3 linked regions of the Arabidopsis thaliana genome follow. The protein of the gene in region 2 interacts with the protein of the main gene of each other region in a pairwise test. Each region holds a gene or a part of one and is shown on either strand. Other genes may lie near its edges. The genes, in order: GRL, ABIL1 and SCAR2.

Region 1 (4,415 bases), 4.2 Mb from region 2:
TTTCTTTTCATGTTTTTCTTTTAATGAAATGAAATTGTTTGAATAATGGTAGAGAATAATGAGCTTTGGCGTTGAAATTGATTGGATCTTTCATGGAGTTATGCCTTTTTCTTCTTAACTGCAAAAAGTTTCGGACAGTACATCTTCGTGGACCGAAAACCATAACCCTTAGCGGGTTGAACTAGTGCTTAGTGCTTAGCAAGCTCCAACTCCTTTGGAGGGACCAAATCAAATGCTACTGGACCACCATCCATCTATTTATAAACAATTGTACACCGGATTGGTAATGTTCATACTATATAAGATAACATGTTGACAAGAAAAATGCTTCTCTTCAGATGGACCTTACCTCCGTAGGTCTAGGCACGGCAGCAACTACACTTGTAGACTCTTGAATTAATTTGGAGTTCAGTAAAATAACTGCCCAGTCCTGAGATGAAGAAATTGGAATCCAAGATAATAGCCGAGTACAAAGAAGAAGCTAATGGAAGATTCATGCGAATAAAGAATATAGGTTCGGTCATATTGTAGCAACCGTGTGAAAACCGTTTTTTTGTTATTTTCTGGTTCATAGGGACCTCAAAAGATAATGTGAAAGGAAACAAAATCTGTGATGCAATGATATGTGCACAGAGGGAAAAGATTTTGGAATCATTGTTGCTTATTGTGAAGGCCAAGCTTGTTTAGCCACAGTTGTCCAACAAAGTTACAAGATGTGCCTTGTAATACAATATTCCTGCGTTGTCAACCCTACTTTATTATATGAAGTTGTTTTTGTGTGTCATGGTTTCCACTAATTTACTTATTAATTTGATTGTTTGATTGTTTTCTATTAGTAAAAAAGTAATATCAACATTATGATTAAATTCTCAAATCAAATAATTATGTTGAAAAGATGAAATGCTTGGATAGCACTGAGCTTTGGACACGCAACAAAAAGTGAGGGAGGGGCAAATTCATCATCAGAAACGTCAGAAACATTATTTATTAGTCGAATCATACTAAAGTTTAACACAGTAATTCTAAAATAATTGACAATTATTACACCTAAAAGCTACTCCATATGTAGAGATAATGATAATTATATACTACAAGTTAGTATTTGTCGACGTCAATATTGTTCTCTTGGTTAATTGTTTTTAAATATTAAAAATTACCGGTTAAGGGACTTGTTCTCATTTTGTCAAAGCTTCGAAAACTTACATTTCAACCACCCAACTAGAACGTTTGTTCTTTTTCTAACAGAAATTTTCCTTTTAAATACTAAAAATAGTACTTACTACATAATATACCAAATACTTTTTTCTATTTTAGCTATCCTCATTATTGAAATAGATGTCGTAGATTTGAATTTACCTTCTGTTAATGTACATATGATAAAAGAACATTGGTTTGTTATGCTAAAATCTCAATAGTTGGAGCTAATCCTATAGTTTTGCTAAAAAAAACTTGTAATCCAAATAACTACAATCAAACCAAAACAACACATGATTTGAAATATCATTTTTTCTAGTGAAAAAATGTTGTCTTGCACTGCTCAAATTCAAGTAGACAATTCCGATTCAATATAACTAAAAATCTCATATTTTATTAAAATTTTATAAACAATTTATTTTTTGAAAGGGATAAACACTTTCAGCTGTTCAATTGTTCATAATTTTCTTCTACTTACATTGTTTCGTTTCCTATGGAAATGTTTAGATTTACAGGTAAAAAGTAAAAAATGTGCTTGAGCAAGAAAAGAGTAAAAAAAAATAAAAAAATCTGCATTTTAGTTGAAAACGAAAGAAATTCTACTGACTAATTTTGTCTTAAATGAGAGAGACCCGAATTTAGCAACTCTTTATTTCTCGGCTCACACACTCCGATTAAGCCCGACGCTCTCTCTCCTCTTTGTCGTCGTCATCATCGTCTCCGGAGTAGGTTGCAGAAATTCAGATCTGAACTCTCAGACGAAGCTCCGATCTTACTGAGACATTTTTGCTCGATTTGACTTTCGCCTTTAAAGCTTCTCAGGTAACTTTCAATCTTCACGAGACTCTTGCTTGACTTGGTTTTAGCTCCTTGTTTGGTTGCTGGGAAATTGACGAGGGGATATCTATTCTCACTCGTCACTCGTTGTTGAGTATTACTGGGTTTTTGGAAGATGAATGCAAGAGTAGAGAGCTAAGTAAATTATGTTGGACGAGATTGTGTAACGTGATTTTGAAATACATTTTCCTTTATTGTAGAGATTATTGTACTGAATTAATGGCGAATTCTCGTCAATATTATCCATCTCAAGATGAATCAATGTCCCCGACTTCTGTGAGATCAAGGGAATGGGAAGGTCCTTCCAGATGGACTGAGTACTTGGGACCTGAAATGGCTGCATCAGTGTCTTCTACTAGGAGCTCTAAGCAAATTGATGGACATGTTGGTGGTTCCACAAAGGCTTTGAACATACAATGGGTAGTTCAAATGATTGAGGTTGCTGACGGTCTCATGGCTAAAATGTATAGACTGAATCAAATCTTGGAGTATCCTGATCCTGTTGGCCATGTATTCTCTGAAGCATTTTGGAAAGCGGGTGTCTTCCCTAACCATCCACGGATATGCACTTTGCTCTCTAAAAAGTTCCCTGAGCATTTCAGCAAATTGCAACTTGAACGTGTAAGTCATGAGTTCTTTTTTTATTAGACTTACTGTTTGATTTGTTGATCTGATGGTAAATGAAAAAAGATTTATTCTGCAATACTTATGCAGATTGATAAGTTTTCACTGGATAGCTTGCATGATGGTGCTGAACTTCACTTACAGAGCTTAGAGCCATGGATACAGGTAATAAGAAACTATCTATGTAATATGTTGTTGGGTTTACGTTCTGTTGTTGTGAAACTTGTTGTTCGAGAATGGTGAAGCATCTCGGAAGTCCTACATGCTATATAGTCAATCTTTCTATTAGTTTTCTTTGTGTACCTAGTCAATCTTCAATCTTCAGTCTGCTATATAGTCAATATTCAATCTTCTATTCCATCTCACCATTAGTCAGCTTTATATATCTGGGCATGCATATATGATTTACCTAATACATGGTTTTAACTTTTAAAATGTAAACGAGTAGTTATTTGCTAGCCTTCTTTCCTTAGTTCGTGTGTAGCATTTCAGTAAGGGGTGCCTTCATAGTCCTCTCGTCATGCATTTTTCTTTTCTTGAATCAGCTGCTGCTCGACTTGATGGCATTTCGAGAACAGGCACTGCGGCTTATATTGGACCTAAGCAGCACTGTAATTACCTTGCTGGTGAGTCAAAGTCTCTCATCTGCGGAAAGTATTTACTTGCTCTGGGTTGAAACTTTGAGCTTTCTTTTGAACTCGTACCTTAGGTGGAGGTCATGAAATGTTTTGGTACATTAAGTTATTATTTACTTGTCAAAAATGTCTGTGAGGATGAAGATAAAATTGTTGAGTATTCATGATTAGCTCATAACTTAGTTCAGCTTTTTGCAGCCTCATCAGAACTCACTTATTCTGCATGCATTCATGGATCTCTTTTGTGCATTTGTCCGAGTCAATCTCTTCGCAGAGAAGGTATGCTGAGCTTGTTCCTTTTCTTAGTTCTTTGTTTATTTGGATTGATTACACATGTCATGTGAGACATTACATTATTATCAATATGTAAGAGTGTTTATTTTATCAAAGTAGATTCCTAGGAAAATGTTGTTGCAAGTCTACAACCTTCTGCATGCGCTATCAAGAAATGATCGAGACTGTGACTTTTATCACCGGTATGGATGTTTTTTTCCTTGTAGTATCATTTTTAATTTGTATATAATCAATAGACTCTGATATCATATATTAACACTCCTCGTCTTGCATCCAGCTTGGTGCAATTCATAGACTCTTATGATCCCCCATTGAAAGGCTTACAAGAAGATTTGAATTTTGTCAGCCCAAGGATTGGAGAGGTTAATATTTTATTCAAATCACGGGTATCCTACGAGCTAATATTGCAACTGATACAGCAGTACTAACAACGTTACTATTTTCCTAGGTCCTGGAGGCTGTAGGACCCAGTATTTTTCTATCTGCAGATACGAGGAAGTTGAGAAATGAGGGATTTTTAAGCCCATATCATCCTAGATTCCCAGATATACTTACAAATTCTGCTCATCCCATGGTACGAACGGCTAGATTATTATCAACATAAAAGCTTAGGATTCTCAGAATTAGTAGGATGCTATTGTCTTTCCCTTACAACTCTACTTCGATGTATAGTGCTAATATTAGATAATACACTCTTGGTTCCTACAGAGAGCGCAAGATCTTGCAAATGTTACTTCGTACCGAGAGTGGGTGCTTCTTGGATATCTCGTTTGCCCCGACGAGCTTCTTCGTGTTACTAGCATTGATATCGCCCTGGTATGAATCTGTTTT
Region 2 (4,415 bases):
AAGATAAGCAGAGTTACTACGTGAATATGGGTCACGCCGTTCGTAGTATCAGAGAAGAGTTTCCTTTGTTGTTCTACAAAGAGCTTAATTTTGACATTTACAGGTTTGATGAAGATTCTCGATTTAAATTGAACTGCTCTTTGATTAGCTTTCTCAAAGAATCTTTTTGCTTCAGAGTCATGCTTATATCCCAAATTTGATCTGTTCTTGGTTAGGTTTCTTAGAGAATGATCTGTTTTATCAGTTGGTGATTAGCTCTTTCTCTTGTCTAATTTCGCAGGGATGATATTGTTTTCAAAGACCCTATGAACACTTTCATGGGAATTGATAACTACAAATCCATATTTGGGGCCTTACGTTTCCATGGAAGGATCTTCTTCAGAGCACTATGTGTGGACATTGTTAGTGTTTGGCAACCCACAGAGAACACTCTGATGATACGATGGACTGTTCATGGAATTCCTCGTGGTCCGTGGGAGACTCGTGGTCGATTCGATGGTACTTCTGAGTATAAATTCGATAAGAATGGCAAGATTTATGAGCATAAAGTCGATAACATAGCCATTAATTCGCCTCCAAAGTTTCAAATGCTCACTGTTCAAGAGCTTGTTGAAGCCATTAGCTGCCCTTCGACTCCCAAGCCGACCTACTTTGAGTTCGGAGATTGATTCATCATCATCGTCTGAAACATCATGCTGGTGTTATGTATACTAGTAGTCTTTTGTGTGGTTATAAATAGAGTGGTACTGTAATATAGATGAAGAAGGAACGATTTAAAATAAACCCAATAGCATGAATACATTACACGCTTTTTTTGCGTATAATAATCAATAAAACGCCTATATGTACATAAATTTGTAAAATAACAGTATAGCATCATGATACATAAATATGTTGACTTTGATTACTATTATATTTTGATTCAAAAATATTGACAAGTCACTGCAACTCCATGAGGCACCGAAACTAGTAAGCCTGGTTGTGGAACTTGGTCCACGAAGTCGTGTTGACGGTAGATGTCAAAAAGAGTTGACAAGGCAGTTAAGCAAGGTGTGAAGAAGTTGAATTTCAAGACTAAATGTAAGTACAACCATAGCTACTTTGAACATTTCTTGCCTTTACCGCAATCTCCTCAAGCGACTGAGCTACAGGCTTGAAATTAAATTCGAGCAACTCGTACATTTGTGTATATCCATACTTTGACAAAAGCTTTTTATTTATAGAATATGATTTATACAGCCTACATTTGTGTATATCCATAATTTAATCTTAAAAAAAACGCATATTTTTCTAAATAGAAATTCGAATTATATAACATGAAGACAACATTGGCACAAACCAAAGAAAAAAACTTGTTTGGTCATTTACGGCTGTCTTTTAATTCACCTGAACAGAATCATTGAAAGCAAATGGCAAAAATGATTTGTAAGACTAAAGTTGGGGCCAATGATTTTTGCCCAGTAAAACCATGATGGACCCATGGGCCTTTGCACGTGCAGGTCCGTTTTGACAGCTAGTCCACACGTGTGGATCTCATGTGAATGAAGCTGGCTTAATGCTGACGTGTCCGCCAGCGTTACTTTTTCATGCAACTTGCCGGAGTCAATTATAAAATCCAGTTGACCGGTCCTTTTGGCAAGGCTAGTTCCGTCATTTCAAATCCTATAGATCCACCTCCGTTTACTTTAAATGCTTGCATAGAATCTAACCACAAACACATAAATAATTTAATGTGTTATCAACAACCGCAATTAAAGCAGCATATACAAAGACATGTGATTTTTTTTACGGGAGTATTTTTAATGTATACTCGACAAAAATATTAAGTTAATGTCCTTTCAAATTATGCTGTATTAATTTTGTAATTCAGAGGTATCTTATAGTATGATCAAATTATTAATTAATCTTGTTTTTTTATGTGTTCATAATAACTTATTTAAGAGAATTATATTCAAAAAAAAAAAAAACATAGTGCGTCTTTCCCAAAGTCGTTTTCTTCTATACACCTTTTTTAATAACTCTGGAAGCAAAAATGGCATAAGAGTCCTTTGGATTTGGAATCGCTTCTACTTCACTCTCACCTTCCTCCTATTCTCTCTCTCTTTCTATGTCAAGTTAGCTTAGCCGTCTCACCAGAAAGCTAACCTTACCTCACAAACATTGATTGTGTTACACTAATCTCTTAAATAGAGAGCCGTAATTTCTACACACTCTGATCGCTAGATGGAAACGGAGATATCAGGAATGGATAATCCAGCTATGACCTTGGACGAGGTTTCCATGGAACGCAACAAGAGCTTCGTTAAGGCATTGCAGGTTCCTTATTATCTATCTCTCTGTTACTAGTTCTTCCTTGTCCACATTTTTTTGTTGGTTCTGATCAGTTAGATTCTGTAGAAATTAAGAGCTATGATCACAATAAACTTGGTTTAGTTGAGGCAGATCCATGATCTCGTTGTAGGCTAGGCTAATATACATGTTGGTAAAAACTTTAAAAGTCTTGTTGGCTGTAAATTTTGTGGATTAAGTTTATTGATGGGACCAAGATGATGATTGTCGGTTAGTGTGTTACTACTGTCTTCAAGATTTGAATCTGGTTCTCTTGGAATTATCAAGACAGACTATGGCATGACTTAGCTACCTAGAGACGACGACTCAAGAATCTTCTGATTTGTTTGTTGGTTTTGTTTGGCTTATTACAAATGTTATTTTTACTTTGGCCTTTATTGTATGTAACAGGAGCTCAAGAACTTGAGGCCTCAACTTTATTCAGCTGCTGATTACTGTGAAAAGTCTTATCTTCATAGCGAGCAAAAGCAAATGTAAGTAACCTCCTTAATTTTACTCTACTAGTAGCTTTGAATGACATTTCTTCTCTTTACATTATTACCTTTCTGTTTAGGGTATTGGACAATTTGAAAGACTACACTGTGAAGGCTCTAGTTAATGCTGTTGATCACCTTGGAACTGTAGCTTCCAAGCTTACTGATCTTTTTGATCACCAAAATTCAGACATATCAACTATGGAAATGAGAGCTTCTTGTGTTAGCCAGGTAACTAAACTCTCTCACACACTTCTCTATTTATTTATCTTACCTTTTCTAGGCAATCTCCCTTAAGGTTTGTGTATGTTCTTTTCATCAGCAACTGCTTACATGCCGGACATATATCGACAAAGAAGGTCTTAGACAGCAACAGCTATTAGCAGTTATCCCATTGCATCACAAGCATTACATTCTTCCCAGTAAGAGTTTTTCTTGTCCCTTGTTAAGATTCTGTTAGTTTACTAGTGAAATCTGATTTCTTTTTTCTCTCGACTGTTGTTAGATTCTGTTAACAAGCGGGTACACTTTAGTCCTCTCAGACGAACTGACACAAGACAGAATCATTACCAAGCTATATCCCGTCTTCAACCTTCAGGTGCAATGTCCTCATCTTTGAGCTTATTAGTTAATAATACAAGCAGTCAAATATCAAACAGTTTAAGTAATATGCTTGGTTTGACTCACTTAGATGCCCCTGCATCGAAATCACTCTCCTGGCATTTAGGCTCAGAGACCAAGTCTACCCTCAAAGGAACATCCACAGTTGCACCAAGGTGAGTTCACAAAAAGCTTTAGTACTGCTTCTCACGTTCTTGATAACTAATACATATTTACTGTGCAGCTCCAAAGATTCAAAAGCTTTCTCAAAGACATCTGGAGTGTTCCATCTCTTAGGTACGAGAAACAGGGAGTCGGGGAAGTATCAAACATAGCATTTCTTCTTAGACAACTCTTGCCAAGAGATTGATGATATACATTGAAACTCATGCAGGTGATGATGAAAACATAGCAAACAAGAAGCCTTTGGCTGGTTCTCAGGTCTCAGGTGTTCCTGCTGCATCCACTGCCCATAAGGTAAAAAAATTTAGAACACATGAAACTAATCTTTCATGAATCGGGCAGTTCATGTAGAAAAATGCAACTGGATTAGTAAGCTGTGTATTTGTAATCATGGTTTTGATGAGACAAGTTTGTGATTCAACAGGATTTGGAGGTTCCGAAACTTCTAACTGCACACAGGTCACTTGATAACAACCCGCGACGAGAGATCATTCAAGCTCCTGTCCGGACAAAGAGTGTTCTTTCTGCGTTCTTTGTTAAACAGAAAACTCCAAAGCTCAAAGCTGGCTATGTCTCGTGAAAACACCAACTCTTTGTACTGAGAAGGAAATTTCAATCTCATACCACGTTTCTTTTACCTTATATAATAACATGTTGATTTTCATGTAATTATCTTAATCACCACATCAACGTACGAAGTCCAGTAAGACATGATTTTGGTCTATCATTAACAAAACTGTGTAATAGATTAAGAATGTGTTTTTAGAATGTAAAAGCTTAATAAAGATTTCTGTTGAGTTATTAATTAAC
Region 3 (4,415 bases), 2.9 Mb from region 2:
CATCATGTAAGATAGGCATCGCAATGCAAGAAGTCCCATATAGTTCCAAGAGCATCTCGTAGCATCTCCAAAACACAACCCCTCTCAGTGTTCTGCTCCTGCAGACCACAAGTATTATCACCATAAGCCTCGCACTTCCATTAGAGTTTCTAAAATAGTACAAGAGCACAATAATTTACCTGTATTTTAGTGTCGATGTCTTTAAGCGTCAAACTCACCTCCCTCTTGGTTTCCCCTGTTCCAGTCGTCTCATTGAATCTATCAGTCTCTCTTACCCTAAGCCTTAGAGTTTTATTTTTGTAGATAGTAGCTCTAACGTGACAAACTTCAAATTCTTTGTATCCATCTTCAGATAAAGCTTTACCAAACGGCCACCTTAAACCGCCTTTTACATTTGGATCAACAGTTGCTGATTCCAATAGCGCTTTAATGTCACCTATCTCTTTATCCTGCCGATCAAAGAAAGATCACACAACCTAAGTCTAAGAAGAGCATATTATTTATCCATATATTGTAAAATATATATACCAAACTTGAACTTACACTGAGATACGTTATTTCCCTCTTAGCGGTGAGCGTTAGTCTCATGTCGAGATTCTTATCAATGCATGACACATCAACAACCAAATGCCTTACAGGATTAAGGTCGACCTATATAAAAGCAAAACTCAAGATTCAAAGTTAGATATTAAAGGAAGACCAAGTAAAAATGTGACATCTATCAAATTCTTGTTTGTTTTTCTTGCTAGTCCGAGAACAATAAAGAAGAGATTTTACTATTGGTTGTAGTCACTACACACATAAAACTCGAGACTTGCCTTGTACATACTGAGCCGTCCATCTTCCTTACGGGTACATTTACAGTTGATGGTTGCATTAGGACGAGAATAATGCGATACCTAAAAATAGAAGCCAAACCCAAATTAGCACATTCAAATGACATTCGAAGTATAGATCTAAATCTAAGAAAATGAAACGAGTACCTTCACAGTGTATGTTTCCTTCTCCTTATCAATAGAGAATCCATGGCTTGGTACAACATTAGATTTTATGTGTTGTAAGTAAGACATTGGGAGATCAGTAGAGAACATCTTATTCAAGTTTTTTAGTGAACATTCAGCCACAGGACCAGCTTGACTCCTGGTTTAAAGTTGTATATGTTAGAAAAAATATAAACCCATTCCTGAAAACAGCAAAATGTGAGATCAGACGGTGAATCGCTTACCCATAGAAGAAAATTTTACCAAACCGAGCAACCAGTCTCGATACATGATGATGCTCCTTCATTTCAGTCTTAACTCGCTCATATGCCAACACAAGATCCTCCATAACCTTCTCAGCTACTAATAGCCACTGAGTTCTCTCATCCTTCCTCTCTCCAATATTCATATTCACTGAATATAAACATATAAAAAACCATACTCAACATAGATACAATGCATCTTCTTTTGGCAAAAACGATAATAGCACAAACAAAATAGTTAATAGTATTGTTTATTTCAGCATCTAGATGATATTCATTTTGTCAAACACATAGCCAAAGTCTACTAATAGTTTCTTACCATTTTGGACATTGTTGTTCATCAGTATTGAAGGCTTTTCTCCTTTTCTACACTCGACAGAATCTGAGGACAAGGGCACAAACTTAACATACGAAGGAACATCGTCCTCAATTCCATTTGAACCAACAAGAAACCATTTGGAAATGGAATCTCCTGAATAGATAATCTTGTTGCGTTTAACACTGCTAGTGCTACTCTTAAAGTCAAGGTTCTTCTTGAATTTTGTAACAAGAGAATCTGGAACAGGGGTAGGCTTTGTCGGATCCTTCGAATGCCTCTTATGTGGTGGAATATAAGACATGTCTAAACCTGAAACTCACAACAACATCAACCAAAAACGATTTCAAGATAAAACAAAAAAATCTCAAACTTGGAGCTCAAATAAGAATTGCTTTACAACGAGCGAAGAAGAATATAAAGACAGAAACTTTAAGGTGAGAAGAGAGAAGTCGAATCATACCTGTAGGCTGTAGTCGAAACTCAACGTCTTTTAATATTCCTGCAGAGAAGTAACAGTGACACTCAAATAGACTCTTCGCTCCCTTTTTAATCTTTCAATTAACTCTCATCCGTTTCTCAAAAATGACTTTAATTAGATTGTGTTTGGTTTCGATAGGGATCACAATTGGACAAACCTCAAGCCTGAAACTATCAGGTTCCCGAGGGGTTTGGTCTTAAATGCAGGTTTTATTGCAACAAGGTTTTGGTTTTGTAAGAATTTTTCACTAAAAGTAACAATTTTTTAAGTATTTCTGGCTATCGAAAAATAGAAAAAGAAATGTTTTCTTAAAAAGTCTTTTAGCGTTGAGGTTCTCAGACTCTCTCTCTCTCTCTTTGCCCCTACCTATATCCGCCGTCTTGAATCCACAGAAAGTCCGTTTTAGTTTCCAGCTAAGTGATGTCGTCACATATCTAATGGTGGTCGGTCACTACTTAAATGAAGACAGAGAAGCTTTTCTAGTCTTCTTCTTTCTAAAGTTCTTACCTTTAGAATTTGAACAAAAGTATCAGCGAGCTGATCAGACAGAGAAGCTCAAACAATGCCGTTGACGAGGTACCAATCTCGTAACGAGTATGGATTAGCAGATCCGGATCTGTATCAAGCTGCTGATAAAGATGACCCTGAAGCTCTGCTTGAAGGAGTCGCTATGGCTGGTCTCGTTGGCATTTTGCGTCAACTCGGTGATCTCGCTGAGTAAGTTTCTCTCCAATCGAAATTTCTCTAATTGATCTCTAAGCGCATCGAATTCGAAGTTTTGGAATCCGTTGTTGTAAAGCGACAATTTTGATGAATCTGGATTTGGTTGTGGAAGTGGAAAAAGTTTTGATTTTTTGATGGAATTGTCTTTAAATTCATGTAATTTGTGATGAAGGTTTGCTGCTGAGATGTTTCATGACTTGCACGAAGAAGTAATGGCTACTGCTTCTAGAAGCCATGGTTTAATGGCTCGTGTGCAACAGTTGGAAGCAGAGTTTCCTTCTATAGAGAAGGCATTACTGTGTCAAACCGATCATTCGCCGTTTTTCTCTAACAAAGGTTAGATTGCTATGAACATTCATGATCTGGTCAGCTACTATGATGTTGGATTATTTCAACATGATTCTGTGACTCTATTTCAGGTGTGGAATGGCATCCGAATCTACAATTGGAACAGAGTGTGGTTACAAGTGGTGACTTACCTCGTTGTGTGATGGATTCTTATGAGGAATGTCGAGGTCCTCCAAGGCTATTTCTTCTGGACAAGTATGATTTAGCCTTGTTTGATAGGACTTCTTCTTTAGTCGTTTGTTAGAGAAGGATATATGTAACATCTTCTGATGGTTTTGATTAGGTTTGATATTTCCGGAGCTGGGGCTTGTTTGAAACGCTACACCGATCCATCGTTTGTTAGGCTTGAAACGTCTTCATATGAAGAATCATGGGATGATATTCAGAGAGAGAAAAAATCACAGAAAGCAAAGGTACTAGCTTCTTAGTTCAGGTTGTAGCTTATGGGTTGCAGTGTGATCCTTCTTGGTTATATTTTGGTTTCCATTACATGGTAGATTTTCTGAATAGTAGATTTTCTTATGCTCATGGTGTTTTGAATGTGTAATCTTACCTTCCATTTTGTGATTCTCATAGTTTTCCTTCTATTCTCTTGTAGAGGAGAGCATCTCAGTGGAGGAATGGAGGGACACCTGAAAATGCATTATCATCACATGCCAAGTGAGTATTATCTATTTTATGTCTTGTGTGTTTGTCATTTCTGTTATGATATATATGTAGTTCCTATATTGGTATCTGACTGTGACTAAAAATGGCTGGTTTCAATTATTCAACTGGCACAGATTGCATGAATTGTTTTTGGAGGAGCATTTAGAGGCTCATCATTCAGATCCAGCGCGCGTTGTGAAGTTGAAAACCAGAAAGCTAGATGGGTGTTCCCTTATTTCAAAATCAGGGGAAAGCTACATGGAGAAATTTGTGCAGACACGTGTAGATAGTAAGATAAGTTATGAAATAATTACCCAAAACCCCGGATTGTTGACATGGAATATGGATAGTGCTAGAGATGTAGTAACCGATATACCTGAAATCAGTATGGTGGGTGCTATGGATAAGTCTCATGGAGGAAGCAGAGCAGAGGTTTCATTCCCAAGTGAGCAGGAAAATGTGGCAAATGTTAACATGAATGGGGGTTTTATTGAAAAAGATATAGAGACAGTGCCTGAATCTACATACAATGAGGTCCGTGGAACAACTATTACACAGGATTCACAAACGGTTTTGAACGGGAAGCCAGGATTTTTTCAACAGAGGAGTTATTCTGAAGATTTAACCAGTGAGGCTGACAATTATGTGGACGCACC

Evidence for each region.
Region 1: the proteins of ABIL1 (region 2) and GRL interact in a two-hybrid assay, tested with the Arabidopsis thaliana proteins (one study listed by BioGRID).
Region 3: the proteins of ABIL1 (region 2) and SCAR2 interact in a two-hybrid assay, tested with the Arabidopsis thaliana proteins (one study listed by BioGRID).

Annotation. Positions count from the first base shown.
Region 1 is NC_003071.7:14,801,361-14,805,775, reverse strand, and holds the start of GRL (transcription activator), read left to right. Parts: upstream 1-1,925; 5' UTR 1,926-2,016; intron 2,017-2,231; 5' UTR 2,232-2,250; coding exon 2,251-2,652; intron 2,653-2,745; coding exon 2,746-2,820; intron 2,821-3,200; coding exon 3,201-3,281; intron 3,282-3,488; coding exon 3,489-3,569; intron 3,570-3,683; coding exon 3,684-3,766; intron 3,767-3,861; coding exon 3,862-3,946; intron 3,947-4,032; coding exon 4,033-4,158; intron 4,159-4,292; coding exon 4,293-4,400; intron 4,401-4,415. UniProt on the Arabidopsis thaliana protein: Involved in regulation of actin and microtubule organization. Part of a WAVE complex that activates the Arp2/3 complex.
Region 2 is NC_003071.7:18,979,890-18,984,304, forward strand, and holds ABIL1 (ABI-1-like 1), read left to right. Parts: upstream 1-2,028; 5' UTR 2,029-2,223; coding exon 2,224-2,316; intron 2,317-2,334; exon of another isoform or gene 2,335-2,739; coding exon 2,740-2,822; intron 2,823-2,902; coding exon 2,903-3,053; intron 3,054-3,144; coding exon 3,145-3,244; intron 3,245-3,327; coding exon 3,328-3,598; intron 3,599-3,666; coding exon 3,667-3,719; intron 3,720-3,816; coding exon 3,817-3,899; intron 3,900-4,029; coding exon 4,030-4,185; 3' UTR 4,186-4,403; downstream 4,404-4,415. Other genes in the region: AT2G46220 (DUF2358 family protein (DUF2358)), read left to right, coding at 1-103, 281-668. UniProt on the Arabidopsis thaliana protein: Involved in regulation of actin and microtubule organization. Part of a WAVE complex that activates the Arp2/3 complex.
Region 3 is NC_003071.7:16,092,948-16,097,362, forward strand, and holds the start of SCAR2 (SCAR homolog 2), read left to right. Parts: upstream 1-2,287; 5' UTR 2,288-2,602; coding exon 2,603-2,757; intron 2,758-2,935; coding exon 2,936-3,099; intron 3,100-3,182; coding exon 3,183-3,306; intron 3,307-3,394; coding exon 3,395-3,524; intron 3,525-3,709; coding exon 3,710-3,771; intron 3,772-3,893; coding exon 3,894-4,415. Other genes in the region: AT2G38430 (uncharacterized protein), read right to left, coding at 3-98, 180-449, 544-651, 819-899, 984-1,140, 1,226-1,394, 1,563-1,863.